3 linked regions of the Rattus norvegicus genome follow. The protein of the gene in region 2 interacts with the protein of the main gene of each other region in a biochemical or structural test. Links are inferred from orthologs where the notes say so. Each region holds a gene or a part of one and is shown on either strand. Other genes may lie near its edges.

Region 1 (10,319 bases), on a different chromosome or scaffold from region 2:
CTCACACAGGAGAGCCACAGCCTGCAAATGCCACCCCATTTATTGATGCTTAATTTTAGGCAATAAAAATTTGGTGCATAAACTATGTAAGAAGTACAGGTACGAAACACTGAAATATATAAGCCTATCAATCACAAACATCCAGTAATGGTATATATAGATTTTAATATTACATCTAATAGATTCCCTGTGGAAAGAGAATGGCATTCTTTGCTCTCAGCATGAATTTATAAATCTACGGAATTTTATTACAGGAAAACCAGGTCAAATGGAAATGAAAGATGAAGTGCATATCAAAAATGCATAAAGCTACATGCATTACAGAAGTCATTTCCCATAAATTAAAAAGAAGACAATATAAATTATGTTGTTTTCTCCAATTGCTAGATGTTTCTGGCTGTTTCTTAGATTGGAGGGGGTTGGTCCTACACATTCTCTTCCCATTGGCTTTTTAAAAGCTTTAGGTCTTCAGGAAGAACTGATGCTGCAACCAATGTTCAGAATCGCAGCTAATGATGTTAGCCAGCTCGGTGGTGTGATTCTGCGGAGGCTCTGGCATTATTTTATTTTGTACAGAAATCTTGGAGAATGACACCCCCCCCCCCCAGCTCATTAAGTCACTCCAGTTCTGTGTAGCCACCATGGCATCTGTTAGGAGAGTGAAATAAAACAGTCGACAGATAGTCACTTCAGAAGACAGTGAGGTGGGGTTGGTACCACACCAGAGCACTTTAATCTGTGACTTCTGAGAAAGTGACAGTGTAATAAGATAATGTGGACTGCTGGACTCCCACATTCTGTTCAGTCTCTCTAACACTTGATTAGGAGAGAGCGATTCCTAATGACTGTGGACCATTAGTCCTAAATAAGGTTAATGAATTAATTTAGTAGACACTTACTGGGAGGAGGTGGATATGGTTTTAAGAGGACTACAGGCTTACTGAGGCATGTGTTGGCCCTGGTCACCTCAAGCATAGCAATAGGGTTTCAGTTGAGTGGAGTCCAGATTCCCAGCATTCCCCACATTTCTGCTAAGAAAATTAAAAAGTGTGTGTGTGTGTGTGTGTGTGTGTGTGTGTGTGTGTGGTGTGTGCTGTCAGAACTACACAAGTCTTAATACTCTTCACCTTGGCTATCACGACCATCTTCTGGGTACCCCAACATGGCTCTAACCCAGTGTTGTTCTCAATCTGTGAGTTGCTACCCCTTTGAGAGAACTCTTTCTCCAAAAACATTTACATGACAATTCATAACAGTAGCAAAACTACAGTTATGAAGTAGCAACAAAAATAATTTTATGTTTGGGGAGTCACCACAACATGAAGAACTATATTAAAGGATTGCAGCCTTAGGAAAGTTGAGGACCACCACTCCGTCCTTAGGCATTATGAAGGCTAACCATTTGAGGTCTAAGCATTTGAGTTCTTTTGCTTAGAGGAAATAGACATTTCAACCCCTGCCAGACTACAGAAGCACTCCACCAACTCAGGTTCATTAACAAATTGAACTCCACATTCATGATTTTTTTGAGTATTTGGCTTCCCTTCCAGAGTATATAGGAAGATGCCGCCAACTCGAATTCATTAATAAATTGAATTCCAGCCGTGTTCACAAAAATATTTGCATATCTTTTGAGAACACTGCTTGGTACCTGTTGGGGGAGATCTATAGTTGAAATCACAAAAAAAAAAAAAAAAAAAAAAAACCAGGGAAAACACATTAAGGAGATTAACTTCTATCATAAAAGAGTGATTTAAATTCTTCCTGGTAGAGCCCCTCCGCTCGGCTCTTATTAAAACAATATACCACAATAAGTAGTAGGTGCACTTTTTTCCTAATTACTTTGATCGAAATCTAAGCCAGACAAAGTAAACATTTAGCTATTAGTTAATATATAAAGCTAAAGATCTACTGTTCCGATCAGCCCTTGCCTAGCCTTCAGCACCTTTCCAGGAGACGCGGAACACATTCGTACCAGATCCCATTTTAAACACACTCTTTAGGTTCCAGGGTACTGTTTATACCCAGGATTGCCTTTCATTTACTTAACAGTGAGTGGTTTTAAAAGCCAACTGGAGACTGCAACAGGGGTTACGGATTCTCAGATACGCTGGTGCCTCGCACTGAATAGATCCAAAGCCTTTATTGACAGTGCGACTTTCATTCATACTTCAGACTGATCACAGACGGTTTACAAAGGCGGCAGAGAGAGTTCTAGCGCCAAGACTGACCGCTATCTCTTGGTGTGGCCCACCAGAGGAAACTGAGCAGGGATGTTTCGAGGAGAACCAGGAAGTCCTCCCGATGAAGTGTTCATTAACTCTCAGCAGCCATCAGATTTTTGAAAGGGAGTCTCATTTAATTGCCTCTGGGAGGAAACATTATTAAGATAATTGGTGTGCTGATCTGGGAAGGTAGGCAGCTCTGCCTCGAAACAGAGGCAAGAGAAGCCAGCAACCAACTGGAGCAGGGGGCGGAGGGCTTGTGGTCCTCCTGCCCCAGACACCCTGACTTCTCTGTTCCTTGCACAGGCAAGTTTCCTGCGTCCGGCAGTCGTGCGCGCGTCCCGTGGCTGGGGCTGGAACCCCCTCGCCCGAGGGAACCCGGCAGCCCCGGGCACTCCGGTCGCTCCCGCCTCCGGCTGTCACTTACCGCTGCGGAAAGCGCCCGCCAGGGCGAGGGCAAGGGCGAGCGTGGCGCACAGCAACGGCAGCCCCCTCTCCATCCTCCTTCGCCGAGCCAGTCCCCAGGCAGCCGCGGGAGAGCACGATTGAGGGAGGAAAACCCAGCAAACGGGAATCTTAACAATCCGAAACAACGCTCTTAAGTCCGCTTAAGAACCATAAAATCCTCAGCCGGTCTTGGCGGGGAAGGCTAGCGGCGAGGCAATGCCTGAATTCGCGAGAAGCGCGTCTCTTTTTGTGTCTCAAGTCGCCTGCATCCTGTCATTTAGCTCCGATTTCCTCTCCCTTTTCCCACACTTGTTCCTCTTCCAGGAGCCACTGCCCGGGCCATGTCTCAGGAAGAAGAAGAAGGAGGAAAAAAAGAGGGGAGGAGTTGCGAGGAGGAGGGGAGAGGGCGGGCGACACACCAAAGCCAATTTCTAGAGGGAAAGAAAAAAAAAATCCCGCTTGATTCTGGACGGGTTGGAGCCGAGGAGCTGGCGCCCAGAGGAGGTCCGGGTTGTCTGCGGGAAGGAGAGAGAGCAATGAAAAGATGAGCGGGAGAGCGAGGACTTTCTCCACTGGCACCCGCCTCTCTCTCCGACCTCCCCCTCCCTCCCAGATCCCTTCCCTCGCTTCCTCCCGCCCCCTCCCCGCACAGCTCTGCCAGTGATTGCCTGGCTGGAGATTCGGAGACACAAGTTTCTCTCTGCACGCTTTCTCCTTCGGTCCTTTGGGCTCCCCCCTCCACCCCACCTCCGGGCACCCTGCTGTGCTCTCCGCGGGAAGAAGGTCATTGGGGAGCCAGTAGTCTGTGCCCATAGCGCAAGGACACGTGTGTGTCAGGAGGGGCAATGCTAGTGGTACCAGCCCCAGTGATCAGCTAGTCTACCTTGGCGAGATCTCTGCACCCCAGGACTGAGCTAGGCTGAGGATCCCGGAGCCCAGGAGTTCTGAGAGCCCGGGGTTAGCTGCTACTTCAAGGAACTCCAAATCCCTAGTCACCCGCGCCCCAGGTGGTGTGGATCACGCGTCAGTCCTTGCTTTCACTTCCTGGGTGCCAGCCTGAGGTTTGGGGCGGGAAGCAGCCAGGCACTCCAGAATGCTGCGAGTAAGACTGTTGACCAGAAGAAGAAGGCTGTTCTGGGAGACGCGCTACTAGAGAACTGCGACCGTGCCTCTGCCACGTAAAACATAGGCAGACCTTCTTGGAGCACGGAGCCTGGCTGCAGCCGAACAAGACCACCTCGCCGTGCATAAAGGCGAGGCTGGGTACCCGACCCCCCATCTCCACCCCTGACGCTGCAGGCTGCATTGTTCCCCGAGATTTGGTGCCCTCTCCTTTGGGGTTACATGAGCCAGGAGGATGGATGGTGGCGCGCCTTTCAGCTAGGGGGCAGCCGCCAACAGACACAGAGCAGCCACGTAGAACTCCAAGAATCTGAATCAGGGGTCCAAGGTTCTAAGGGTGGAGGGGCCCATTTCTGTGCACCCTGAAGGAAGGACAAGACTGGCAAGGACCCCTCATGAGGGTGACAGGATGATCTTTGCAAGGGTCTCGTAGTGCCAGGTTTAGATTACAGGCAATTGTGTCTACTGGTCCTCCAGCCTCACCCGCCACCCACAGAAGAGGTGCGTCCCAGTCCCCCGCGTCTGCCCAGTGCTTCCCCTCCCCCACGTCGTCCGGTTCCATCCTCCAGGGCATTCCGAGAACTGCAGCAGGTGGTGTTTGGCTTATGAATAGCAAGGACACCCAGGGACTTAAACTGGTTGAGGCCTCTGATCAAGTACGAGTATAAGAGACTCTATGCCCTCGGAAAGAGCTGGTGGATAAGGTGAAAAGGTCATACGCCTTCTGGGAGGTGGCATTTATAGACACACTACCACCACAGAGACTAACTCCTACCTGGTGCAAGGGCTGGCAAAGATTTAGGATTGCTGGCAAGGAGACTCTGGTCAAAGGTTTTGGCTGAAAAATTAGGGTCAGTCAGGGAGAAAGGACACCCGGGGACACTGGTGCCCCAGGCCAGGAATCTGCGTTGGGTGTCTGGACTGGGCGCTGAACTGAAGCTTGTGCATTGCGCGGATCTCCAGCCTGGGCTCCGGCGCAGGACCCACTGGCTCCAGAGTCCAGCCTTCTTTTCGGCCCTGGTTACCGAGCCCGCCTCCAACGCAGCCTCTCCCTCCCTGCCCCACCGCAAAGCCACCCCCTTGTGTAGAGAGCCAGCCCTGGAGCGCCTCCGTTAGTCGCCACTAGCTACCTCTTTGGTTCTCTGACCCTTATGGAAGACCGGGTGGGTTGGGCGTGCCAGAAGGCTGGGAGTCAAACGCCTGAGTCGAGCGGAAGGGGCAGTCGCGAGGCCGTTGGCCCTCTGCAGGCAAGGTCTAGGCGATAGCCGCGCCCAGGGCAAAGCTGAGGTGGGAGGAACAAGAGTGGTGGCGGGGTGGGGAAGCTGGGGGTGGAGGGGAGCTGGCAATCTGCCACAGGGAGCGCGTGTCCCTACCTCCCTACGCCAGGCATCGGGCGCATCCTTGCCAATTCCAACTGTGCTGGGCAAGCCTCAGACTCAGGGTGACCCGGAGCCACCTTAGCCCTGGAGTCCAAGAGACCGGTGTCTCGGAGGACTTGGCGAGTCGACATAAAAGGGAAATCAGGCCAAAACTGTGGAGATCCAGATCCTTGTCTTTTTCGGAAGAGGAATCCCAATGCCCGGCTCGCTCGCCCAGGTGAAGCTGTTATTTAATCAATCTGCCCTGGGTCGGATTGAGCTAAGGGGTACAGGTGAGACACTTAAGTGATCAGCTGGTGCTCCCTGTGAAAGCCAGTTCCTCAAACCCAGAGACAAGGGGGAGAAAGGGCTTTGAAGCTTGGGGTACCAGTGAAGGACTCCTGTTTTTCTGGCTCAGTCCCTAAGTTCTCTTGACAGCTTTTCTCTAACTGGTAAGGCATGCCTTCTGTGTACTTTAGGGGAGACATACTTAAAACTCTCTCTCTCTGATTTTCCAGGACTAGGCTTATCTGAGGCTTCCCTAGATTCCTTTTTTTTCCACAGTGGGTGCTGCGAAATGGAACCCAGCCGCCCTAATTAGTAATTGTCAGCTCATGCCATTGGTATATTGCTAACCATTCTGGTTAACAGCCTTTTCCTGTGCCGTAAGATTCCATCAAGAAGAGATAGGCCGTTTAAGATACCTGCAACTCTCCACCCAGGGAGACAGACTGGCTTTATAGGAGAGCAAGTGTGAGACAGAGGAAGAATTTGGCAGTATTCCTAGTTTGATTTTATTTTGGTCTCGTGCACACATTCCTCCTCTTGATATCACAGATCTGCCTAGGAGACAGGGCCTGCTTCCACCTTCAGGTGATTTATCTATCTGCTGCCCTAACCGTGCTGGATAGAGGATGTCTGTGGTCAGTACCACCTCAGGGACTGCTGAGGATGCAACCTGTTTGAGCATGGCCAGTATGAACTAGCTGGGTGGAAACACCCTGCTCCTTTCACCGAACCACATCAATTTGTTAGAAATAAGAGGAGAGTCATTGCTCCCAGAAGGCCTTTGGAGCCACCTATTTCTGAAGGGCACAAATGGGGATGGGTACAACACGGGGATCCCAGTTAGCTCAAAACCAAATCAAGTGCATTCGAGATGACGATGACGCATTGCGTTGTTTTTAAAACACAATCTACAGCTATAGAAAAACAATCGAAAGAATTCTTGGGAGCTAACCAACATCTGACATGGAAGGAGAGAACTGTGGAAAGAATAAGAAACTACAATTTACAACCACACGCAGTGGTCTGGAGTCGTGATCCCAGCACTCTGGAACAGGAGGCAAGAGGATCAGGATTCTGAGGTTAGAGTGAGTTGGAGGTCAGTCTGTGCTACCTGAGGCACTATCTTCTCAAAATAAAAAACATAAAAACAAAACAAAACAAACAAACAAAAAAAAACCCCTTTGGGTCAGAAGAAATGGCATTGTGGTGAAGGGAAGGTTCTGCTCTTTCAAGATCAATTCCCAGTGCCTATACTAGGTAACTCAAGACCACCTATATCTACAATTCCCAGGGATCCAATATCCTCTTCTAAACCCTGCAGGCACTTCCATTCCCATGCATATACCCAGCCATATGTACACACAATTAAAATAATTTAAGTTTTTTTTAAAGATTTATTTATTTATATGTAAGTACATTGTTGCTGTCCTCAGACACACCAGAAGAGGGCATCAGATCTCATTACAGATGGTTGTAAGCCATCACGTGGTTGTTGGGAATTGAACTCAGGACCTCTGGAAGAGCAGTCGGTGCTCTTAACCACTGAGCCATCTCTCCAGCCCAATTTAAAAGTTTTTAAAAGAGACAATTCCCTTACAATGACACGTTTATGAAACGGCAGTCATGCAACAGTTGTCTCTTGGGCTTCTGCCATAGCTATAGCATAGAATTTGTAGTGACAGAAGAGAATAAATAATCTTTAGTTTCGTTTTCTTTTTTAATGTTAGTTTTTATTACTTTTAATCATGTGTATGTATGTGTCTGCATGTGGTATGTATATGTGAGTGCAGGTGGTCACAGACCATAGATGTCAGATGCCCTGGAGCTGGAATTACAGATGGTTGTTAGCTGTCCAATGTGGATGCTCAGGGCTGAACCTAGGTCCTCTGGAAGAACAGCAAGTTCACTTAACCTTAGTTAGTTAACTCTCTAGCCCTAGTTTCTGTTTCTCTAAGTAACAGAGAAATAGATGTTTTCTAAAACTTGCAGGAAAAGGTTTCAAAGCAAAGTTTTTTTGTTTTTTTTTTTGTGATCTGAATATTCTCTGACATAGGTGGACAGTGCTAAATTCTGAGTCATGCTGGTGGAGTCACAGCCTTTGGGGTTAGATTTTGAAAACTGAAACAGTAACCATCAATTAATCTGCCTTCCATGAACCACTTCTTGGGGGCAGGGATTGAGATTGAGACACTGAGTAATTTGCCAACATACTGGGATCACAAATTTCGAACTACGCTACCTGGCTGAATTCTCTCTAAATTAGGAAAATAAAAACAACAGACAGAAACACTCAGCAAGCAAAATTAAAAGTATCACTAGAGAGAATGAACTCAAAATTTCCAAGGTGCAGAGGATCGGTTACTTAAAGTCACATAATTCCATGCAACTAAAGAATAAAAAGTTTAAGGAATGCTGAAAGATCGACAAAAATCATTATTAAAACAGTCAAAGGCTCAAAACAGGGCTGCTGATGTATCTCAGTTGATAGAATGTTTTCCTAGCATGCAAGCTAGATTCAATTCCAGCAGCACACAAAAACCAGGCAGAGCCAGGCCTACCTGCAATCCTGGCACTCTGGACGTAAAAGCTAGAAGATCCAGAGTTCAAGGTCATCCTTGGTTAAGGGAGTTTGAAGTCAGCTTGGACTACATGAGATGCTGTCTAAAAGAAAAAGAAGGAAAGCCTCAAAACATAGTTAATAATTGTTTAATTTATCCCAGAATAACTTAATTTAAAAAAATTCCACCACTCTGGCAGTTGCATGAAGAGTGGGTGGTCGTAAAGTCAGGGAAGAAGATGAGTTTTGACATACTGTTCGGAACACACAGTGGGAAGAAAGGGGAAGCAGGGAGTTTATGCAGTTTGAGAGTGAAGCTAACTGGACAGGCAGGTTGCTATGGCAACAAAGGAGCAGGTGTTGTCAAGAATGACCCAGCAGGACTCAATCCTCCATAACGATAGGGGTCTTAGTGGCCACACAGGCTTGGACACTGAAGAAGGCTGTCTTGGAAGAAAGTTGGACTTTGACTAGTTTCCATTTCTGCCCCTTTGAGGCAGTCAGATGAATTTGTAATCCAAACCAATACTTGGCTTTGAGGTGATGAGTGTATGGGTCACTGACGTGTAGTTGGTGGCAGTGAAGTGGCAGGAAAGATGACATTGTGAGGGGACATAAAAGGAAGCCATAGGCAGAATTTTTACAAATCTGTATTTCAGATCATGGGGGCCAGGGAATGCATGCTTGTTTGTTCCCCGTATTTGAGGGGAAGGGGGAGGTTCTCACTGGCATAGAGCTGACTGATTAGCTTAGGCTGGCTGGTCAATGAGTTGCAGGGATACCAATGTGTAGATCATGCTGATCAGAGAGAACACTATTGTCCTGGCTCCTTTGATGATTTTATAAGTTCACATTTGGGACTAGGAATACATGATGTATCCAACATTTTCCCTGAACACTGAACTGGTTTTCATAAAACTCACAATTTGCTTAATTCATGATGTATAGTAGTACAGAATTGTATTATTTCAAAATTCATGACTCAAGGATTCTCAATAAATGTCTTTTGATAAAACAATTTTAATGCCATTATTTACAACAAATAAAAAAATAAATGTATCTGATGATATCCATGGAATATCCTTTCCCCACAGCCATATAGACCTTCAATAATAATAACGTCTTTCGTCCCTATACCTACATTCTCTTCTTTGTTCCTTACACTCTTAAGCACTGCTCAAAGGGAATTTAAGGTGTTAACCTTTACATGAGCACACACAGCTTTGTTTGGGTGACTCGGTGAAACAACCAGAGCATGTGCTTCCTCAGTCCTGGGAAGTCTCCATTCAGCAGCATCATGAGCCATTTTTCACAGATAAGTGTGACTTTTAAAAACTGTCATGCAATTTCTTGCCATGATAGTTCAGTCAAAGCAGCTGGCAGACTATGAGCGGCCACTCTTTCCCTGAGCCCCTTTCCTTCCATTTGTTATGTTAAGCCATTAAGTCGAGAGCACCTTGTTTCCTTTGTGCGAAGTGATGAAGTGATGCATTAATACCGATGGGTTGGTTTCCAGCCACAAAATGCAACATCTTGAGGGACCTGTAGTGCCACACTAAGGAACAGGTGACACAAAGCGGTCATGCAGAAAGAGCGGGCTTCCTGGAGTGCTCATATTTCCAAACCACTAAAACAAGTGAGCTTTCGGAGGGAGGCCTATTGACATAGCCCACACTCCAGGAGGAACTGGAGTGTAGACAGCAAAGGAAGTTCTTTGGGAAGGGCTGGCCCCGCATTTTCTTGTTTTCATTCTCCCAGAGACAGCTGGACTTGCAGAAACCAGACAGAACAAACACAAAAGCAGAGACGACACGGTCTAAATGCGCAGGCACTGAGAAAACATGTCATGGACACACTAAAGGCTATAAGGCATCCCAGGAAATCTCCTTTACTATATAGTATGTACCTGATCTGTCTTGGACACCAAACCACATTTCCACTGGCAATAAATAAACAAAAATTACTTCTGAGAACTGAGAAATTAAAAAGAAAGAAAGAAAGAAGAGAAAATATACTATTAAAGCAACAGGCAGGGCAGAGCCAGGCTTCAGGGCTTTATAGTTTGCATCCTCAGAACTTTTTAAACCCATTCATGGTTTTCTTTTTGCATGCAAATAGGTAGGCTGTGTACAGGTTTGTGTGTGTGTGTGCATGTTGTGTGTACATATATGCATATTTGTACATACATTTAGAGGTCCAAGGTTGATAACAGCATTCTCCCTTTATCTATCTTTTCTTATATATTGATGTAAGGTCTTTCACTTGAACCCAGACCATACCTACCTAGCCAGTTTGTTTGGGGGATCCCCTCTTTCTGCTTTC
Region 2 (10,375 bases):
CACACCCGACTCCATTCCTCATTGTAACAGCAAGTTCCTACCGACTGTGGCACCAGAACAGCCTGAGCATGGGTGCCCTGATTTCTGCTTTCCTCTCTGAGCTATGACCATACCGCAACCAGGCCAACAGCCACTCAAACACATACTGGACACTGAGGACAGCTATGGATATGCGTACTCTTCCCCAGGTTACCCCTAAGCACGACAAGGAGCCCATTTATAAATGGGGACCTGGAGGCTCAAAGAAACGCCACCATTTGTCCCAAAGGCCACTTGGCAGGTAAGACGCAATTAGAACGAGCTGTGACGGCAAAGCCTTCTGATACCTACATCCTGCGCAAACACAGACGCTTCAAGAGGCACCCGCCAGTCCCCCTTCCCCGGACTTCTGCCTGAGACAAATCAGCAGGTGGCAGTGGGCAGGCACACAATGTAGGTCCTGCCAGCACTAAGAACCCCGCCCAAGAGGGCAAACTGTTTGCATCATGGAAAGAACAGGATCTGCCTCTGTACCAGGCATTTCTAGAAGCCGACCTGGAGGAAGACAGGGGAGAGACCTTTTCCCAGGCAGAGTTATGAGGTACAAGAGATCAGGAAGAGGCACTTGAGGGCCAAGGGGCGGGCACTAGACTTCTCTGGGACACCAAATGGTGGCTCGGCCTGCCACTTCTGGTCATACCCCTAAGGCTACCCCACAGAAGCCAGTCCCTGAAGTGAGAGAAGGAACACAAGCTCACACAGGCCCAAGTTCTACTAGCAGTCAGTATGACCTTGGGCCTGTCCCTCCAGTCTCTGGGCCTTTCTCTGGAAGCAGGTTGGCCTGACCTCTAAGGACACTTAAGGGAGCAGGAAGGTGGTGGTGCTGACCCTTTGCTAGCCCTCAAAACAACTCTTCTTTTCTCATTCCGGGTGACAACGTTTGGAATGTCACCAAAGGCATTTTAAGTGCACGCTCCAGAGACTACACACCCTCACCCTCCCAAACCTGGGGCCACAGCCAAACCTCCCTTTACTCTTCAAAGTTTTTTTTATTTTTCCCAGAAAGTTAAAGAAGAGGGGACCCAGGTTTAGGGTAGGTTGGCAAGAAATGGGGGCACGGAAGAAAAGGTGGAACAATGCCACAGATGTCAAACAGGAAAAGGGGTGGCGGTAACCTAAGCTGCCACCCCTGGGCTTTGCTCAAGGGCTCTCTTTTCTATCTGGACAAGCAAAGAATTCTTGTCTGGCCCCAAAGAGTTAACATAAAACACAGCCAAAAAAGAGTTCATGAGATCAGATCTGAAAAATTCTTTTCAAGGAAAGTCTATATTGAAGATGACTAACCCAGAATTTTAAAAAAAAACAAAAAAACAAAAAACTAACCCTTCATCTTGGCTGAGCCAGAGGTGGCTCAGGCTACTTAGAGGCCCCACACAGGAGCAAGCAGCAGAGAGATGTGACCGAGGAATGAATGGAGGTGGGAGCTTGGTGTACAAAGACCTAAGATGCGAATCCTTTCCAAAAACTTCTTAGAGTCCCCGAGGTCCATAGGAGGTGGAGGAAGTGACTTGGCCAGTACCCATGGGAGCCTGGCCCCTGCCCCCAAGGCAGTGCTGCCGCTTCGGGCGTGTGCACACATACACTCCGGCATCGGGCTTTCGTGGTTTTCCTTATTTATGGCAGACAAGCTCTTCTCCATCAAACAAAGACCGTTTGTCTTGCCTCTCCCAGACCACAGAGCCCACTAGGAAGCAGAAGGGGGTGGGTAGCACTTTGGAAGTAGGGGCCTGTCAGTGGCCGGGGCCAGAGAGTGGCAGAAAGCCAGGCCTTGGGCCAGAGAAAGGGCTCCAAGAGGGGAGGAGGCAAAACCGGCTGGACATCACCAGCCTTCCTTGGCTGCTGGCTCCTGCAGCCACAGTGGATTTGGGTCAGGGAAATAAGCCTGGAGGAAGACCCCAGGGCCTTCCCTACTCTGAGGAAGGACACTGGGGGAGTGGCATCCGGCTGGAGCAGAGGCCACACTCAGTGCTGGGGAGAGCCAGGGCGTCCCCAGAGAGATGGGAGGATCCCGGTACTCCAAACCACACTGGAACAAAAGGCAGGCGGACTCAGGGTTGGGCAGGGGGGCGGGGCGCCTGAGAGCTATAGCCGGCCCTCTGCTGGTCCTGCAGGGAAGCTCACAGCACCCAAACGCAGTCTATGGAAGCTGTTACACTCAGAGAAATGCAAAGCCAGGACTCAGGAGTCCTATTAGGATACCCTTCTATCCTGTCCCCAGCCTCACACAGAAAGGGTCACAGCCCCCACGGGTAGCTGTGGGTATGTAGCAAGGGCACTGAACATGTCTCTTCCCCTGGGAGAAGCGGGTACAAGAGACACCTCCCAGAACATCTGGAAACCTCGAGCACTGCCTTCCTCTTCGCCTGTGCTCACCGCAAGCTTTCCAGATAAGATGTCACTGGAAAAGCTATTAGAAAAAGCAACAAGTCCTGTTTCTAGCAGAAAGCCCAACAGGAGACACCTTAAGAAACACAAGGGTTAAGCTCAAAAGTACCGGTGCAATCTCGACCCTCATATTCCTGCGCCCCACCCCCCATCTGAGAAAGAGGAATGGGACAACAGGGACCCATTACAAGCATGAGGACTCACCTTCATGGGCTTTCTGCTCCCCTTCTGTCGTGGGTGCAGCCTGGGACCACTGAGGACAAAACAAAGAGTAAAGAGCGTTGTCAGGGACAGGGCCAGCCACAGGAGTCCCAGGCCTGACACCACTGAATCCCTAGATTTCTTTTTGCCTCCTCTCCCAACCCCCAGCTCCCACCCTCCCCAAGTCTTCTGAGTCACACGGGGAACAGTAGGGGTCCTGTGGGCCCAGAGCATACCCACTACTCCGGATGGCTTCAATTCTGAGCCCGTGAAAGTTAAAGACTAACCAGGTGTGAGGGAGCTCACAATGTAGGAGGAAAATACCAGAATCCTGCTTGACCCAGGCCCCCAGCCCCGTCCTGTTCTTGTCCTGTCCCTTTTCCCATTGCCCTCGATTCCCTGGTCCCAAGCCATGGGTAAGCATTAAGGTCAAATAGGACAAATTTGGACTGGGGCAGGAAGGAAAGACTGGGGGCGAGAAAAACAACGTGGTGACCTTCTCCTGCTGACATGACAAATACCAGGGTTAGCTCGAGTCGAAGAGAGATGCAGAGGACAGAAGGGCACCAACTACCCTCCCCCATCTGAACTCTTCCCAGGCCTGGGGAATAGTCAGCATACCCACAGGTTGCTCAAGGGGTGAAAAGCTGGGAGGAAGCTCCTAAGGAAGGGAGAGTCCCATTCTCCTCCCACCCCAGGTCCCAGGTCTGCCCAGGTCCCGATTGCAGCTTCCAAAGCCTGGCTAGCCTCCCACTCCCACATCCCGGAGCCTCTCACCTGGGCAGGGCACTTTGCTTAAATGTACCCAGGGAAGCTTTCTCCTCAGTTCTGCCAGGGGGTCCTTTGCCCCACCCTGAGCCCTCCAACCTTCCTCATCCCCACCAGTTCCTCTCTCCCCTCCCCAGAACCTCTGAAGGTCACCAAGAAGGCCCTGTGGCCCTGACGTGGCAAGCAAGCCAAGGCTCCTGGCCTTCCTGAGGGTCTCCTGTTGCTACAACTCCCCATCCACCTGCTTCACACCAACCTGGACCTCCAACTGCCCCAGAGGGACAGACTCCCACCCTTGGTCTGTCTCTGTCTCTTTTTCCTAAGAGCAATCCATCCAGGGCCCTCAGCCTTGCCACCAGGGCCAAGGTCAGAGGTGGCCCTTCTCAAGACATAGCCTCCCACTGCAGCTGCCCCAGGTTGGTCCTGGATTCTGCACTTCATCAGGCCCTCAAATACCCCCTCAATAGCCTCATGACATTCTCCTTCCTCCTCTGTCTAGACCCCAGTGGAGAAAGGAAACAGAAACTTTGAACCCCTTCCCAGATGGGGAGGTTCTAGGCAGGGACTGGCCAGGTGTCCTTCTCTGGGGGCCTCTGAAGGTCACACTGTGGCCAAGCACTCCTGCCCTCCTCCCCACATGAAGGCCCAGAACCAAGGCCTTTGTGCCAGGGTCTGGGGACCTCTGGATGGTGGCAGGGACACCTGCCCTTCTCCTTCCTTCTGCCTCCTTTCCAAGAAGGCTCTATAGCTGAGAATTAGAGGAAACGAGCATCAAAGGACCCTTTAGTAGGCAAATTGGGTGGGTAAGTTCAGAGTTAAACCACCTGCTCTCTGGGCATCAGGCTTTGCCAGGACAAAGTGTGTGTGAGATACTGACAAGGGATCCTGTCAAAGGAGTAGGAAAGGGCTGGTTCCAGGCTGCCCCTGTCTTAGCAAATATCAAGTCATGTTTCCAAAACGGGGGAAATAGGGTGATGTCAGTCCACCCTTCGTTGACCGCCCCCCCCCCAAAAAAAAGGTGAAACACAGCTAACTGGAGCTGCTAGGAGGAGAGGGAAGCACACCTTCACCAACTCAAAACTTAGGTCAGCGTTTCCACAAAGAACCCGAGGGTGGGCCCCAACACCCCCACGTCTGACAGTCACCGTCCTTTTCCTGGGCCCTGGGGCCAGGAAGGGTCCGATGAGTCTTCGCAAGGAAAAGGAAAATATAAAAGGGTGGGAAGGGCTTTTCTGCACACCAGGCAGGAAATGGGGGAAAGGGGGAAGGGGCGTCGGGTAATTCTGCCTAGAGCAAGGCACGGGTAGAAGTTGGGAACGGAGGAAAGGGGTATGGGAGTTTCTCCCGGTCCCGGAGCTGGGGATACCTCCAGAGGTCACCTTCCTCGCGGAGGGCCGGTGGGGGAGGGGCGCCGCTTGTCGCCCGGGTCTCCGGGCTCCAGCAGCCGCGGCTCCGGGAACACGAGGCCGGCCAGGCCCGGGCTGATGTAATCGGCTCTGCGCCGCGCGCGCCCGGCCAGGCGGGGGAGGGCGGGCACCGCGCGGGACGCGAGCGGGGACGGGAGGGGGTGGCGCGGCGCAGGTGGCCCAACAAGCTAGAGGGGTGGGAGAGGGTCCCCGCAGTAATCCATCCTAAAACTTTCCCCAAACTCACTGCAAAGGCCGAAGAGACCGAATGGCAGTGACAGCAAAGCCCCCTCGGTCGCCGGCGCCCTGCCCCCTCCACGATCTCTGCCCTCCCCCGGTCCAAGGTCCGAGCACCCCCAGGCATGCCCGCTGGGCTCCGGACTCCCGCCCCCTCTGCCCGGACTTCCAGTTCTCCCGGGACCCGCGACCCAGAGCAAACTTCTGCCGCCAGCTCGGGCGCAAGCCCAGCCCCCTCAGCCTCCTCCTCTGGCTCCCGCCCTCCGCTGCTCGGCCCAGATCGTACGTGCGGTGACTCTGGTGGGTGGGCAGGGCCCGCGTGGGCGGCGAGACTATCCTGGCGCCCTCCCACCTAGCGCGCACCCCCTCCCCCTCCACGTACGACGACAGAGGGGGACGCCTCGCGCCCGGTGCCCAAGGACCCGCGTGGGGCACGAAGCCCCCCACGCGCGCGCTCGCACGCACGCACGTCCCCAAGCGGGAGAGGCGCTCGCCATGGCCCGGCGACACCAGGCGGGCACGACCGCTTACCTTGGCATGGTGGAGGTACAGCAGTAAAGCCAGGGTCCAGTGCACCCAAGAGAGCAGAAAGTTCATGGTTTCAGAGGCCCGTCCGGGGCCGGCGCGGCTCGCGCTCCCTCTCCGGCTCGGACTGCGAGGCAGCCCGCTCTCTTGCGCGCCTTGGCGGGCTCCTCTCCCTTCTGGAACCGAGGCCCGGGCCGGGGCCTGGGGCGCGCGCGCGGCTGGAGCACTGTCTGCGCACACCGCCGCCTCACCCGTCCATGAGCCCGGCTCCCGAGAGCCGAGCGCCCACTGCGGCCCCCTCTCCTCTTCCTTCTCTTTCTCCCCTCTCTTCTCGGGCCCCGGCTTCTCCAGGCCCGAGCTAGCACTTCTCCCAGCTCCGATCGGTTTGCCTCCTGCGGCGCAGACCACGGCTACTCCGGAGAGAGAAGAGCCCAGAAGTTGGACGAAAAGTTTCCGTGCAATCCCGCGAGCCCCGACCCCCTCCACCCCGCCTCCGGGCGCGGGCTTCGGCTCCTGCTCGCGGCTCGCCGCCGCGTCCACCGTCGGCTGCCCGCCGGCGAGGAGGTGGGCGCTGGGGCTGGGGGCGGTGTCTGTCTGTCTGTCCGTCAGCGCGACTGGTCCGATGAAAGATCCCAAGGGGGAGGGCTCACGCCGCGCTCTGGCGGTCACCCCCAAAAGCAGGTCAGTCACTTTGCCCCTGTCCCTCTCTCTGTTCGCTCGCCAGCGCGCTCTCTGACCGGTCTCTCTCTCTCTCTCTCTTCCTTGACTTCTCTCTGGAGCTCCTGCTACCTCTTTCCTCTGCTGATTTCCAAAATCCGAAGTAATTTGAGGGAGTGAAGGAGCAACCTCTCCAAACCGTTGGCACGATTTAAGAGGGGAATAGGAAGCAAAAATAAATTAAAGCGTAAAACAATACAGTTTAAGAAAAAAAAAAGAGGTTTGAATATCAAATCCCAGAGCACAGACTCCCTGGCTGATGAGTCCGTTGAATAGTCTGCCTTGTCGCTGCGTCTCGCGACAGAGCTCCGCTGCCGCCGCTCAGCTCGCCCCCAGCGCCGCGGCCTCGCTGCAGCTCGGCTGCCCCAAGCCTCTGCGCTTCTCACCGGTAACAGCGGTGGAAAAAAAAGGAAATCTGGCCCCGCCCCCAAAGGCCCCGCCCCAGGCCCGCCCCGGGGGCGAGGCCAGGCCGAACCAGGCACCGCCTTTCAGAAGCCCCTAGGCCACTACTGCGAAATAGAAATCTAAACCCCTTACCAGGGTCCATAGCCTGAGAATTATCTGTCCACCCCTTCAAACTTGGCTCGGGGACACACTGGGAATCCCAGGGTGTTGGGAATCAGGGGAGACAGGAGAGTGAGGGCAATTTCCTTTCCCAGGAATGTAGGAGAAAGTGGGGGGGGGGGGAGGCGGAGAGCTGGCAAGGACGTATGGGGAGACGGACACCCGGAGTGACCCCTGGTCTTCTCCCCTACCTCACAAACACACTATACCCAGACACACACGCACATGCACGCACGCACTCACATTGACACACGCGTCCTTCCTCACGCAGACTCGGCTCGCCCAAGTTCACGATCTCCCCGTGATGGCCGAGCGCCCCCTAGTGACTACATTATGCACACCCCAACTCTGGCTCAAATGGCACGGGTCTTGGACAGGGGGTGAGAGTTGACTGTTGAGCACCGCAGGCTTTGACTTCCCAAATAGTTGCGTGTTTCTAACACCCACCCCCCAACAGTTGCTTGTTTGACCTCGGAAACAGAAACTCTAGGATTATATATGGGGCGGGGGGCTACGTGGAAGGCAAGTATGCTTATCTGAGCTCTTGTCTGATCTTCATACATAAGGAACTAGGGCCCTGGGGTGAATGGGATTCCCTGGGAAGTTTCCAGAGAGGCTTCTCTGGAGAGGATATGGCATCAAATGTGTGACACTGAGAACGGGAAGCCGAGCAGTTAGTCAGTGGCCCGGAGGGAGACGACCTGTGGAAGCCCACGTATGCACTGTGGAGTCTGGCAGAGCCCTGAGGGAGAGACAGCTGGGCAGACAGAAGCCCTTGTTCCTCCTGATCACACCCCCCACACACAAACACCCAGATGTTGCCAGGGAACTAAGGCCAGTGTGCCAATGGGGGCAGAAGCAGGCCAGGCCTGCGTGGTGATTCAAACCTACCCTAGCATTCAGAAACGTAGTTAGGCCAGCTGCCCAGCGCTGCCACCAACTCCGGGTAGGATGGGAGTAGAGGTAAGGCTCCCTCAGTTCTAGCCTAGGCTCACAGTTCATCTTCTAAACAGAGTTCAGGGTTGTACTCTGCCCCCTCCCATTCTACCTAGGACCCTTGGCCATTTCTCTATGCTTGTACACTTAGCCTGTGTGGCTCTGTCCCCTCCCTTTCCACAAAGTCCCCTTCACCTCCTCGTGTCTTCCTTAAGAGCTCCCCAAAGCCCCCACCTCCAGCCCACCCTTGGATATAGGAACCAGCCTGGAAAAATTCCTGGTTGGGCTTTGGCCCAGCTGCTCCTAGGCTCCCCTGGGAACAAGAGGGGGCTCTGATACCTGTGGGAAGAGAGGGACCAACCAGTCCCAGCCCTCACCCAGGTCTGCTGAGCTTCTGAGAAAGGGAGCCAACAGTCTTCCTACTGGTCCCCCGAAAAGGTTACTCCACCATCTCCATCCCTCTGCACACAGTACTGAGGCTCCGTGGGATGCTGGTACCTGTTGGGAACCCCAATTTCAATGGAGCAATGTTATGAGGATCTTATGAGGAAAAAAGCCACCCCATCCCATCTGGCCTATCATAGCTGCCCTGAGTCACCTCCCGGATGGCTCTCTTTTAGCAGGGAGAGTAGTTAGTAAATGCTTACGGGCCCAGAGCCCTCCCATGGGTTTCCTCACCTGATCTATAATCTATGCAGCTAAGAGGCACTGGAAAGGAAAGCTACCAAATGCCTGTCCTTAACATCCCAAGAGCACCAGATGTAGCGCCGTGTCAGGGAGCCCCTGTCCCTCATCACGGTATAACAGAGGCTGTGGACACGTAAGGCTCCCAATGCTCTACTCTTCAGTCACTCTCATCTCTACCTTCTACAGCAGTGGTTCTCAGCCCCCCAACACTTTCACAGGGGTCGCATATCAAATACCCTGCATATCAGTTATTTACAGAAGAGGGACTCAGTAAAGGATCCCGAGGTTTGGAGGAAAACGAAGAAGCTTTGAGGAGGGGAAGGGTTAGTTAGCTACCTATAACTTCATGGCTTTAGCTTCCTCCTATCCCAAGACAGCCGTGATATCTATATGTATATGTGTAGTATATGTGTAGTATACATATAGTATATGTATAGTGTATTATACATGTAGCATATGTATGTATAAGGCGTGATACCACCATATAAGGTTCCCAGAGGAGTCCGAACAATGACACTTCAGATTTCCCTTTCCAAAGCACCAAAGCTATGCTAAGATTGGGGCTTGGCCTGAAGGGTTTTGAGAAACCCGTATCAGGGTAGGGACGGGCTGCCTATGTCCACCGTGCGTTTTAGAGACACAATCTGAAGCTGAGTCAGAGGAATGGTCACTTCTGGATTCCATTCAAGCCGCACATCGCCTCCAACACACATTTCACAACGATGAAGTCGTAAGCGTCACGCTTAGACTGTCACTAAGTGAAACCTCGGGGTATCTAGAAAGAAGGGGGAAAGAGACAAGTCAAGGGTCACGCTATTCCTGCTCTTCCTGGGGGGCTCACTTCCCAGCATGCACTTCATCCCAGAATAGATTCCATTCATCTTCTCTCCCCCAGGTCACTGCCGGACAGGGGACATCAGACTGTAATGGGCCTGGCAGAAAGGAAAGTATTCTAAAGAGATGCTTATGTTTCTCAATCTGTCGGTCTATTTAAACAGTGTACCCCCAAAGAGATGGGGATTTCACCTGTCGATCTCATGCTGGCTATGAGACTAACCAGGACGGATCTTGGCCTAGCATCGTGGGATAATGGGGAACCATCCACTAGGTGGTTAATCAGTGACATCTTACTTTTCAGAGACAGGGAGGAAATTGTCAGGACTGAAATGAAGTCAGGAATGCTCACCTGTAACCCTAACACTCAGGAGGTTCATGAAGCAAGGACAGCCTAGGCTTCTTTTTTTTTTTTTTTTTTTTTTTTTGTTCTTTTTTTTCGGAGCTGGGGACCGAACCCAGGGCCTTGCGCTTCCTAGGTAAGCGCTCTACCACTGAGCTAAATCCCCAGCCCCCAGCCTAGGCTTCTTGTTGAGACCCTTTCTCAAACTGGTGACATGGGGCAGCTCGTATCAGCCCTTCCAAAAGTAAAGGCCAAAAATTGATCCTTCCTCCTCCTCTTCCTCTTCATCTTCTTCATTTTCTTTTCTTTCTTTTCTTCCTTCCTTCCTTCCTTCCTTTCTTTCTTTCTTTCTTTTTTTTCCTTCTGAGACAGGGTTTCTGCCTTGAAGAATTTCCGGGGACAGACTAATAATATACCAAAGGCAAGATGAGGAAAGGTCTTTCAGCATTACCCAGCAAAGCAGATATGTTGGCTGGCCCAAAGTGCTTCCTGCATTTATTGGCACGGGGGTCATGGACTCCCAAGCAGTGGCTACATTCATCAGGCCACTCTGATTTGGGCAGGACCCTGGTTTTCCTCAGTGTGGAAGAGGCTTCCTGTCTACATGTAAGCAAAAGACTAAACTGATGAGGATATATAATTGCTAGGAGCAGGTGAAGCCATCCTGGAGGAGGTGACACGTTAGGTTGGGTTTTGATGGAAAAGCAGGAGTTTCAGAAATTTAGCCATTGGA
Region 3 (10,227 bases), on a different chromosome or scaffold from region 2:
TTTCATCCTCCGATGTGTTTGGCCTTGCCCTGACGAGTAGCCTATGTGTCCAAGGGACCAAGGCCTGAATGACAATGAGATCTTTGTGTCCCCTGGTCAATGGGAAGATCGGACTGGAGAAAGACACAGTGACAAGGCAAACGGGCTGAGTCTGTCTGGTGAGTCTGTCTGGTGTGCCTGGCCTTGCGAGCCTAGCAGCCTTGGCTCTGAGACAGAAACACAGAGGGCACAGTCATGAAGGCTTCGATACATGATCCTGCCCCTGTATCTGGAGCAGGCCAAGCTGGTACCAGCTCAGTGTGGGGTAGGATATCAAGGTCCCGGCTTTGTCATCCACATTGTCCTGTCCCGTTGGCCTCACAAGCCTCTACTTCTTAGCCATTCAATGACAATGGGGCTGGGTTGAACTTTATAGATTAAGAATTTTAAGGTGAGGGCTGGAGAGATGGCTCAGTGGTTAAGAGCACTGACTGCTCTTCCAGAGGTCCCGAGTTCAATTCCCAGCAACCACATGGTGGCTCATAACCATCTGTAATGGGATCTGATTCCCTCTTCTGGTGTGTCTGAAGACAGCTACAGTGTACTCATATATATAAAATAAATAAATCTCTAAACAATAAAAAAAAAACCAAGATGGAGGCAGGAAAATCAAAGCCAAAGAACCTGAGACAGAAGTAGAGGTAGGGAGTGAGCACGTAGACGGCAGAGGAAAGCAGGTTAGGGATGTAGCTCACTAGGCAAGAGGCTCACATAGCTTTCAGGAAGCCCTGGTTTCAGTCCTCAGCATTGCCTAAAATAGGCATGGGGAGCTGGAAGCCATATGCAGGGGCCTTAGAAGAACGTAACTGCAGCAAGACAGAGGGAGCGGGAGGGATGTGGTCCAACGGCAAGGACCTCAGGACCATGGCTTGTCATTTTGCAAGATGAAAAACAGGTTAAAGGGTTTGGAGAATTGGCTCCTTAGTTAAGAGTGCTTGCTGATTTTGCAAAGGACCCAAGTTTGATTCCTAGCACCCATGTTGGGAAGCTTACAAGCACTGGTAATTCTATCTCTAGGTGAATCTAACACTTTTTTCTGGCCTCTACAACACACACACACACACACACACACACACACACACACACACACACACAGAGTTCCCATTTAGTAAAGGTCACCAGAAAATCTGTGCAAAACAACTTGATTCATTGCTTGGTCCGAAGCATGTATTTGAGAAATTCAACTGCCTTTTCCGGTTCCCAAATGAAAAAATAGATAGTTCAGACAGGGCTAGGAAAGAGCACAAATTTGCTTGGTAGATTAAAGGGTTTTTGAGGTGTTAATGTTATTGGAGATTCAGTGGCAGACGGGGAGCCCAACTAGGCTTCCCATGCTTCCTTCCCTCCCCGTGACTCCCTGGGTGAGGCAGGAGACCCAGCCTACTACTCTGTCCCTTGTCTTGATCAGGGCCAGTCCTGCTGTAGGACTTCTGCAGTTTTTGGCATGCTTTAATGCTGAATTCAAACCCTCTGGGGAATTCGAACACTCTCTTTTTTTCTTTCTTATTTGTTTATGTGTTTGTGGCAGGGTGTGGGGTGAGAACACCACAGTGGATGAGAGGGGGCTAGAGAACACCTTGCTGGTGTAGGTTCTTTCCTTCCTCTGTGTGGGCTTTGGGATAGACTCAGGTTTTCATGCTTGGTGATGAGCACCTTATCCTGCTGAGCCATGTGGCTGGTCCATGAGATTTTAGTTCTCTGTCCTCCCCTGAGACCTTGAGAAGCATTCCTACAAACTACGTACGCCCCAACCCCTGGCTCTAAACAGGTTTCCAACTCTTATCCTCAAGGCTAACTGGGTCTATCTTTGGTCTAACATTGGTATAATCCAGTCTATACTAAGTATAGTTCTTTTTGCTTAGGTTACCCAACTGAGACACAAGGCTGCAGTTAATTTTAGTCTCCTTGGTGCCCAGAGCTATAGCAATCAATCCTATGAAAATAGGCATCTGTCCTATGAGCAGAGCAGATCTAGGGAACCTATTGGAACCCTAAATTTGGTGGCCTGAAGCTCCTGAATGTTGGATCAAGGAGAAGACTCAGGGGTCTTATATAGGTCCGAAAGTTTCCTTAGGATTCTTCACAGGCCCTTTGGAGAGAGAACCTGAAGGAAGCCATAACTCTTCTCTGTAGAAAAATGCCATCTCTCCGCCAGATCGCTGCCATCATGGACACGAGTCGAGTGCAGCCCATCAAGCTGGCTAGGGTTACCAAAGTGCTGGGCAGGACCAGTTTTCAGGGACAGTGCACGCAGATGCGAGTGGAATTTATGGATGACACCAGCCACTCTATCATCTGAAACGGCAAAGGCCCTGTTCGAGAGGGTGATGTGCTCACCCTGTTGGAATCAGAAAGAGAAGTTCAGAGGTTGCGTTGACCTTGTTGCTGGGTCCTGGATTTCCACTACTTAGCCCGTGGAATAACCTGCAACTGTTAAATAAAGCATTTGTATTCATAAAAGAAAGAAAGAAAGAAAGAAAGAGAGAGAGAGAGAGAGAGAGAGAGAGAGAGAGAGAGAGGAAGGAAGGAAGGAAGGAAGGAAGAAAGAAAGAAAGAAAGAAAGAAAGAAAGAAAGAAAGAAAGAAAGAAAGAAAGATGCCAAGGTACTGAGGAGCTCTGAAGGGTTCTGTCCTAGGCTAGAACCCTAAGATAAGAGTCCCTCATGTTTTCTTCAGGTGGGATAGTGGAAGGCCACTCACTGATTAAAAACAAAACAAAATTAACTAAATACCTTCAGATCATGAAGCCCCCATTTTCCATGGCTGCTGTCAAGAGAAGGCATGGTGCGAGATGGTGGCAGGTGTGGGAGGGAGGGCGGGAAATGACGTTGAGGGTATCCACCTCCTGTGAGAGAGGCAAGGAGACTTAGGCGTTGAGTGGACCATGAGTGCCTATGTAAGAGGTGACATTAGAATCGAGTTCTGAAAGATGAGAAAGGTCTGAGCTCAGGAAAATCATATGGGAAAGTGTCTGGCAGAGGAAAAGTGAGGATCTAAGAACATGGATGGCCATGGGGTACCTGATGGACTGAGAGCAAGCTGCCTTGGCTGGAGAGAGTGGGTCAGGAGGGAAAATGAGGAGATGGCAGGAAAGGCAGGGACCCTGCTGTATACAAGTTTATCTCTAGACTGCACTCTGCCTTCTCCAATTCCACATTATCCAAACCCAATGGCTGCTTCGATAGCTCCACTTTCAGGAAGGCTCTGCTGCTCTGACCCTCTGGGAGAAGCCTTGGGGTCTGCATCACTGGGGAAGTGGTTCTGTGCATGAGGTACATCCCTTGAGCCACACCCAAAGCTCCTGCCACATCCATTCTGGTACCTCCCCAAGGAGGCAGGCACAAAGTGTTCAGTCAAGAGTTGCTGCACGGAGTGGGGGCAGTCCATGTTCCCAAAAGAAGAGCGGGGCTGAAATGTAGCCTCAGCGTTCTCAGACTACTTTTGGTCAGGTGTTATTGGCGAGCTGTTTGCCCTGTATGAGCCTGTGCCCTTGTTATTAAAATGGTCTCTTGGGGCTGGAGAGATGGCTCAGTGGTTAAGAGCACTGACTGCTCTTCCAGAGGTCCTGAGTTCAATTCCCAGCAACCACATGGTGGCTCACAACCATCTGTAATGGGGTCCAATGTCCTCTTCTTGTGTGTCAGACAGTACACTCATATAAATAAAATAAATAAATCTAGAATGGTCTCTTACTAGTATGTAAGTCAGGCTGGGAATGCAGCAGCATGGGTAGCCTGCTTGCTTAGCGAGCATTGACTCTCAAGTTCAATCCCCAGCACTATATAAACTAGTCATGGTAGGTACTGCACACATGTAATCCTAGAACCCAGGAAACAGAGGTAGGGAGATCAGAAATTCAAGGCCATCCTCACCTACATAGTGAGTGGTCAGCCTGGACTACATGGGACTTTGTCCAAAACCAAAGGCCTGCTGTGCCAACAATGTCCTCCCCACCAACTCTGGTTATTGTTTCTGACCTGACTATCAGTCTTTTACTCTCTGAGTTTGTCAGGTGCTGACGATGCAGGTCTCCCGGCTAAGTTCTAATCCCTCCCTTATCTATGGTTGGTGCCCCTAGAGTTCAAAAGGACCTCGCCTTATTATCGATGAGGACGATGCCACCAGTATCACCAGTGGTAGTTTGTTTTGGTGGCACGGGGAAAATTGGGTACTTGTTTTGGTCACAGCCCCCTACTGCCATGCCAGTGTACACTAGAATCACTCTGCCCTTCTCCACGTCATGAAGCCTGAGAGAGGGCTCAGTCAAGTTCACTAGCTGTGTCTAAAGTAGGACAAGGGGCTTGGCTGTGCCTCTGCGGCTGGCTCTCGGGTAATGCCCAGGACTCTTCAGTCCTCAGCCTCCGCTCTGAACAAGGCCTGTCCTGTTCTAGGTGATTCCTGCAACTGTTCCAGCCCTGACCCTCATGTCTGTTTAGGCAGGAGCCCCAGAACAGATGAGGCAGGTGGGGCCAGGGTGTCTGGTTAGCACACAGCCTACCACAAGGCAAGCAAGGAAGAAAAGACAGCTTTGGTTCTGGGGAGAAGGGGGAGGCAGGCCAGGGGAAGGAGGAGACAGAGGAGGAGGGCCTTTGAGTGGAGGCGGAGGGTGAGACAGACCCTGCCCAGAGCTCCAAGTGGCTTCCTGCTGCTTGCCTCTAAACCCCTCCACATTCCTGCAGCCCTTCAGACCGCCAGAACTCTTCTGCTGCCTGCCCAACTGCCTGCCTGCCTGTGCCGAGGTATGCACCTCCCTGCTAGCCCCTGCCCTTCTGTAAGCTTCCTCAGCCCCTCTGCCCCATCCCCACAACCAACCTCAGGGGGAGGTGAGCTAGAAGCCTGTTGCTCAGGCACAGGGGAACTTGTTATCTCTGTAGCGCTACAGAAAATATCCACGGTTTTCGAGGACCGCTTTCTCTGTTCTCTGGTGGCAGAGGCTGCTGGTCTGTCCTCTGTCACCCTCGGTGGCAGCTGCCTCCTTCTCTGAGAATCTGATCCTCACTTGCCTATCACAACTGCCAACCCAGAGAAAGTCTGGCTGGCAGCCTGCTGGGTCTGGCTCCCTATTCTAGGAGAACAGACATCCAGTTCTGGGTCAGAGCACTGTTGTCCAAATGGGACTTTGCAAGAAGGATAAACAGATCTGTAAACAGCCAAGGCAAGGCACTCCCTTTAATCAGTTCCTCTGGGAGGGCTCAGGTCCCGGGAATCTCCCGTCCACCCCACCCCATCACCCTGTGGGGACGGTCAGCCTGAAATGCCATTCTCTCTCCCAGCCTGCGGTTGCCATTGTTCCCACCCTAATTCTGAGAGATGGTCATCACAGGACCTCACTAACATTGCTTTTACTGTATCTAGACATCTGAGAAAACTAACAGTTTGATACAATCCAGAGATGACAGGGAGGAGGGAGACAGGGTGATTTAGCTCCAGGACACCTTTCACGCCACTACTGAACCTACCCCAAGACTCAGATCAGTCTGTTGAAAGCTTGTCTGCCCCAAGTCGTTCTGTAAACTTCCTGTGTATGACACCTAGGATGGCCAAAATAAGGAATAGGCATCCTGCATCTGCCTCAGAGACAGACAACATACCTGCAGGGGAGGAAATGTCTCCACCAGCCACTCTTTTAAGTTTCTAGAACAGAGTGCAGGGAGTGGCGTGAGGCGCAGACCATACACGGGGTAACAAGCTTTCGGCAGTTTGTGGGCGATCTCACATAGGCATCTCCCCTGTCCTAAGGAAGAGGGATAGTTTTGGGGATACCTGAATTGCCCTAAGACTTCCCAAGCAAGGTCACTTAATTGTGCTTATAAAGTGGTCTGTGCATAAGCTTCAAAGAGTCTCTCGAAGTAGTGTGTACGAAAGTGTGCGTGCATGTCTGTGTGTGTGTGTGTGTGTGTGTGTGTGTGTGTGTGTGTGTGTGTGTGTGTGTGTAAGAGATAATGAGTGTCCACAGCTTTTAGGTTTAAGATATTCCCAAACAGAGGTCAGACCCTTCCCCCCGACCCCCGAGAATGGTTGCAAGGGTATGGAAACAAATTTGTATTTTCCAAGGATTGAACCAGAAAGAAGTGGTTGAGGGAAGAGTTAACTCTCGCTAACTCAGCCATCAGCTGCCACATCGACAGAGCCGCACAGGCGGAGGGGGAGGGGGTGGGGGTGGCTCTGAGAAGGAGTCAGCTTTTGAAACTTTCTCCAAGCCCCACCCACCAAGAGTCTCTTCTCCCTGGTGACTCACTCCGAGAGGAATGCGAGTTGCCACGGCAACCTCTTTTTTTCCCCTTAGGGTCTGTGCCTACTGGCTGGGAGGGGACTCTGGGAACGCTCAGGGACCTCTAGGGTCCAGTCCCCCCAGCCACTGCCACGGCTGCCCTCACCCCACCCCACCCCCGCCCCAGTTACGAAGACAACAGCAAACTCCTGCCCTGTTTCCACCTCCCACGTCCCTGGGTCCCCAGATTGCGATAAGCCTCTCTAGAACTGCCCTTCGCAAGACAGAGGGTTTGGATCTGTGCTTAGAAGGTGTCATTTGACCTTGAACTGTCTTCCTGAGCTCTGGTTTCTTCCCTATTTCTAGTAATAGCAGCAGTCCCTTGGAGAAGGTGCAGGATGAAACCAGCTAAAGCGTAAGCTGGGAAGCCCTTTGCAACCTCACTCCCTTCTAAAGCAACTGATTTTTAACACAAAGGGGATTATTCAAAGTCCCTTTTCTGGCAGCTCCAACATTTGGGGTCCAGAGAACATCTTCTTAGAAAAAGTGGTGACAGGAATATTTTTAAGCATACATGGTTTACATTTATTTCAACTCGAGGATCTTCCTGTCAATTTCCCAAGAGCAATGCATCCTCCCCTAAACAAAGACTGGTGATCAAGGTTGGAACCAGGACTCAGTGGGAAGGGCTTGCTACATCAGCCTGAGGACTCCTAAGTCTTTAGCTTACCCCTGACCTAGGGAGCAGGGTGTGGGGATGCCTGTCTGTAATCTACAATCTAAAAAGGCTACGAAGGCAGAGAGACAGGCCAGTCTATAGAGCTCACAGGTCAGCCGGCCTAGCTGACCCAGCTTCAGGTTAGTGAGAGACCCTGTCTCAGAATATAAGGTAGACAGGCTTAGTGGCACTCGCCTTTAATCTCAGCACTTAGGAGGGAGAGGCAGGGTGATCTCTGGGAGGTGGAGAGGGTCAGCCTGGTCTACGTAAGTGAGTTCCAGGCTACTGAGGGTTTCATAGAAAAATCCTGTCTCAAAACAACAACAACAAAACCCAGCAAACGAACAAACAACAACAACAAAAAGACAAAAAGAAAGGGTAAAGAACAACCAAAGAAGACACTGACTTCTGGCTTACACACACACACACACACACACACACACACACACACACACACCCCACACAGAAATGGGAAAAAAGAACGGAAGGGTGGCGGGTATTGGTCAAAAGCATGAATTACAGCTCAGTGGTGACATTGGAAAAGATGTTATCTGCCTTAGCCTCAGTCTCCCAATCTGTCAGGTGGGGATGATCTGAGCTAGAGGTTCCCTGAACCCATTCCCAGACCCTGGTTTCCTTGGAAGGAGCAGCATCCTGTATGTTTAGCAGCAGCCTCCTTTCCTGAGTTAGGAGAGGAAACAGGAAGAAGGTTCCAGGAAGAAGGCTGGGGAGGCTCTAACTCTGGGCAGATCCTCATCCAGCTGTGGGCTCTGCAGCCTGATGCACAGCTGGGCTTGCTATTTCCAGCTGCAGTTTTCCATGTTAAAAATAATGAGCTTTAAATAGCAGAGGACACGAAGCCTTTTAGGTTGGCGGATGAGTCTGGGGAGATAAACAGGCAAACATGAACACATGGGGCACAGAGTTTAAACATGTAGACCCTGATTTCACCACCAGTGTGGCTAAAAATAAAGGCAGGATGTGGCCACCCCCTCACATTCTTCACCACACAGAGGGAGAATCTTTAAGTATATCTTAAAAAATATTTTAGCAATATGTTTTTTAAAAGTTTGAGCCGAGTGGTGGTGGCACCCACTTTTAATCCCAGCAGAGGCAGGCAGATCTCTGTGAGTTTGAGACCAGCCTGGTCTATAGAGTGAGTTCCAGCATAGCCAGGGTTACCCAGAGAAACCCTGTTTCAAAAAAAGAAAACAACAAAAAGTTTGTATTTACGTGAATATACGTAAGCACAACGCATGTGGGTGCCTTCAGAGGTCAGGAGGGGGCGTCTAAGTTTGTTGATTTAGAGTTACATACAGGTGACTGTGAGCTGCCCGACATGGGTGCTTGAAGCTGAATGTGGGGGTCTTTGATAGGGCAGTAAGCACCCCTAATGGCTGAGTCATTTCTTCAGTCGCCATGCCCTTCCTCCAGATACATCTTGTGAGTATGAAAACCTCAATCTTCACCTATTAACAGATACGAAGTCAGGTCATATGTCATCTATACAGACGAGCCGTCAAGGATGCAAACACATAAACTATTGAATAGACTATTGGTCAATGAAGACACCTCTGACCCTCTCTCTCTCCTCTCTTTCTCTCCCCTCCCTCTCTCTCTCTCTCTCTCTCTCTCTCTCTCTCTCTCACACACACACACACACACACACACACACACAAGCCTGCCTCCCCCAACAGCACCCCAACACAGGCACACGGGTGCCTTTATTTCCAAGATACAAAAGTTGAAATTCAGAAAGAGAAGGTAGCTCACTGGAGATTATACAGCAGGCTGGTGTCTGTACCCAGCCTCCAGATCTTTGGAACCTTGTCAGGTTGGAGTTGACCTTGTTCCTGTAGGTCCTAAATCATTCATAATACATGGGTCCCTTGGTTCATTAGGCCCAAGACCCAACAAACGTGGCTTATAAGTAGTTTCTCGGTAGCTTTCCACTGGCTCCTCCTCTAGTCTCCGATTTAAACCGACAGAAGAGGAGGCTGGCACCAATTTCTAGACCTCTCTGGAGATGGAGGAAGCTACCTTTCCCCTATATTGTAGGGTGGATCCTGATCCCTCCCAGCCTTGCTCCTGACTCCTGGACACCTGGGTTGCACAGGCCCAGGGCCAGCAAATGGTGGCTTATCTGAAGCTTTTAGAGAAACAGCCTCCGCCTTGGCCAGGGGTGTGTTGGGCAGCAAATCAGCTCCGCTTTCACCTGCCTAGTCATAGATATCTGGTAGGAATCCATGAACAGAGATAGCAGCTCGGTCCTTCCAGGAACTTCATTTAAAGTCCCGGGTTATAGGATCTCTCTGGATCATCCTGTGCTGCTTGTGACATTAGGAATTCAGATCTCAGTGGGGGGGGGGGATCAAAGTAAAAGTTTAGATATTTCTGAATGTTTGGCTCAGAAACCACCTTGCCCGAGGAATTTGAGTGAGCTATTTTCCTCTCTAAGCTGTGAGTTCTTTGTCTAAGGTACAGGCGTGGGAAAGAACTATCATGTGGCCCACAATGGCAAGCCTCTAGTAGTGGCTGTCCTAATGGTGTTCAAAATTCTGATGTCACTTCAGACCTTGAGGGGAAAGATTATATAATTGATTAGTAATGTCTGCCACATACACAGGAGGGGTGTGGGAAGGTTGGTATGCTATGTTTCTGCCACCTTTGGAATCCCTTAGTCCTTTCCAGATGTTACATCTTGGATACTTTCATGTCTCTTATCTTCCATTAGTGGTCACCCCTGATGCAATAGGGATGGCTGTACATTGAGTCCCTTCCTTCTGCCTTTATTCGTTCTAGAGAGGGTTGAAAACTCAGCCTGGTCTGCCAGCAGGACCCAGTCACATGGTCTAGAGGGTGCGGAGGCAGCAGGAACTCTTCCAGCCTGGTCCAGACAAAGTGAAACGTGGCAGTTTGGGAGACACTGGAATTTCAGCAGGGCTGTGTCCAGCCACAAAGCCTGGATCCGCCTCTGAGCTGCCCAGAACCAATTCTAGGTTTTAGCGTCAGTGACACTAACCACTTACCGTAGCTTCGTCTCTTCCAACAAGAAACAGAAATAAAAACAAGCAATCTGGAGCAAATAGGGAAATGGGATACTCCAAGATCTGCTGAGCGAGCTCAGGAGTTCAGAACAGTCAAGGGATCTGAGGGGCTTCCTTGCCCAAGGGTGTCTGGCTGTTCTAGGGGGAACCTAGAATTTTTGCAAGGTGGCTTGTGATGTTGGAGTATGCTGTGTTCCCAATTCCTGTTATTCT

The links.
Region 1: the proteins of Vegfa (region 2) and Nrp1 form a complex in vitro, tested with the Homo sapiens proteins (8 studies listed by BioGRID, with this or other methods). The link is inferred for Rattus norvegicus from reciprocal best matches to the Homo sapiens genes VEGFA and NRP1.
Region 3: the proteins of Vegfa (region 2) and Sparc form a complex in vitro, tested with the Homo sapiens proteins (2 studies listed by BioGRID, with this or other methods). The link is inferred for Rattus norvegicus from reciprocal best matches to the Homo sapiens genes VEGFA and SPARC.

Annotation. Positions count from the first base shown.
Region 1 is NC_086037.1:73,251,240-73,261,558, reverse strand, and holds the start of Nrp1 (neuropilin-1 precursor), read right to left. Parts: upstream 5,003-10,319; 5' UTR 4,925-5,002; intron 3,696-4,924; exon of another isoform or gene 3,556-3,695; intron 3,330-3,555; exon of another isoform or gene 3,188-3,329; 5' UTR 2,726-3,187; coding exon 2,653-2,725; intron 1-2,652. UniProt on the Homo sapiens protein: Cell-surface receptor involved in the development of the cardiovascular system, in angiogenesis, in the formation of certain neuronal circuits and in organogenesis outside the nervous system. Mediates the chemorepulsant activity of semaphorins.
Region 2 is NC_086027.1:22,449,126-22,459,500, reverse strand, and holds the start of Vegfa (vascular endothelial growth factor A), read right to left. Parts: upstream 6,648-10,375; 5' UTR 6,171-6,647; coding exon 5,568-6,170; intron 2,678-5,567; coding exon 2,629-2,677; intron 1-2,628.
Region 3 is NC_086028.1:40,033,329-40,043,555, reverse strand, and holds the start of Sparc (SPARC precursor), read left to right. Parts: upstream 1-4,739; 5' UTR 4,740-4,777; intron 4,778-10,227.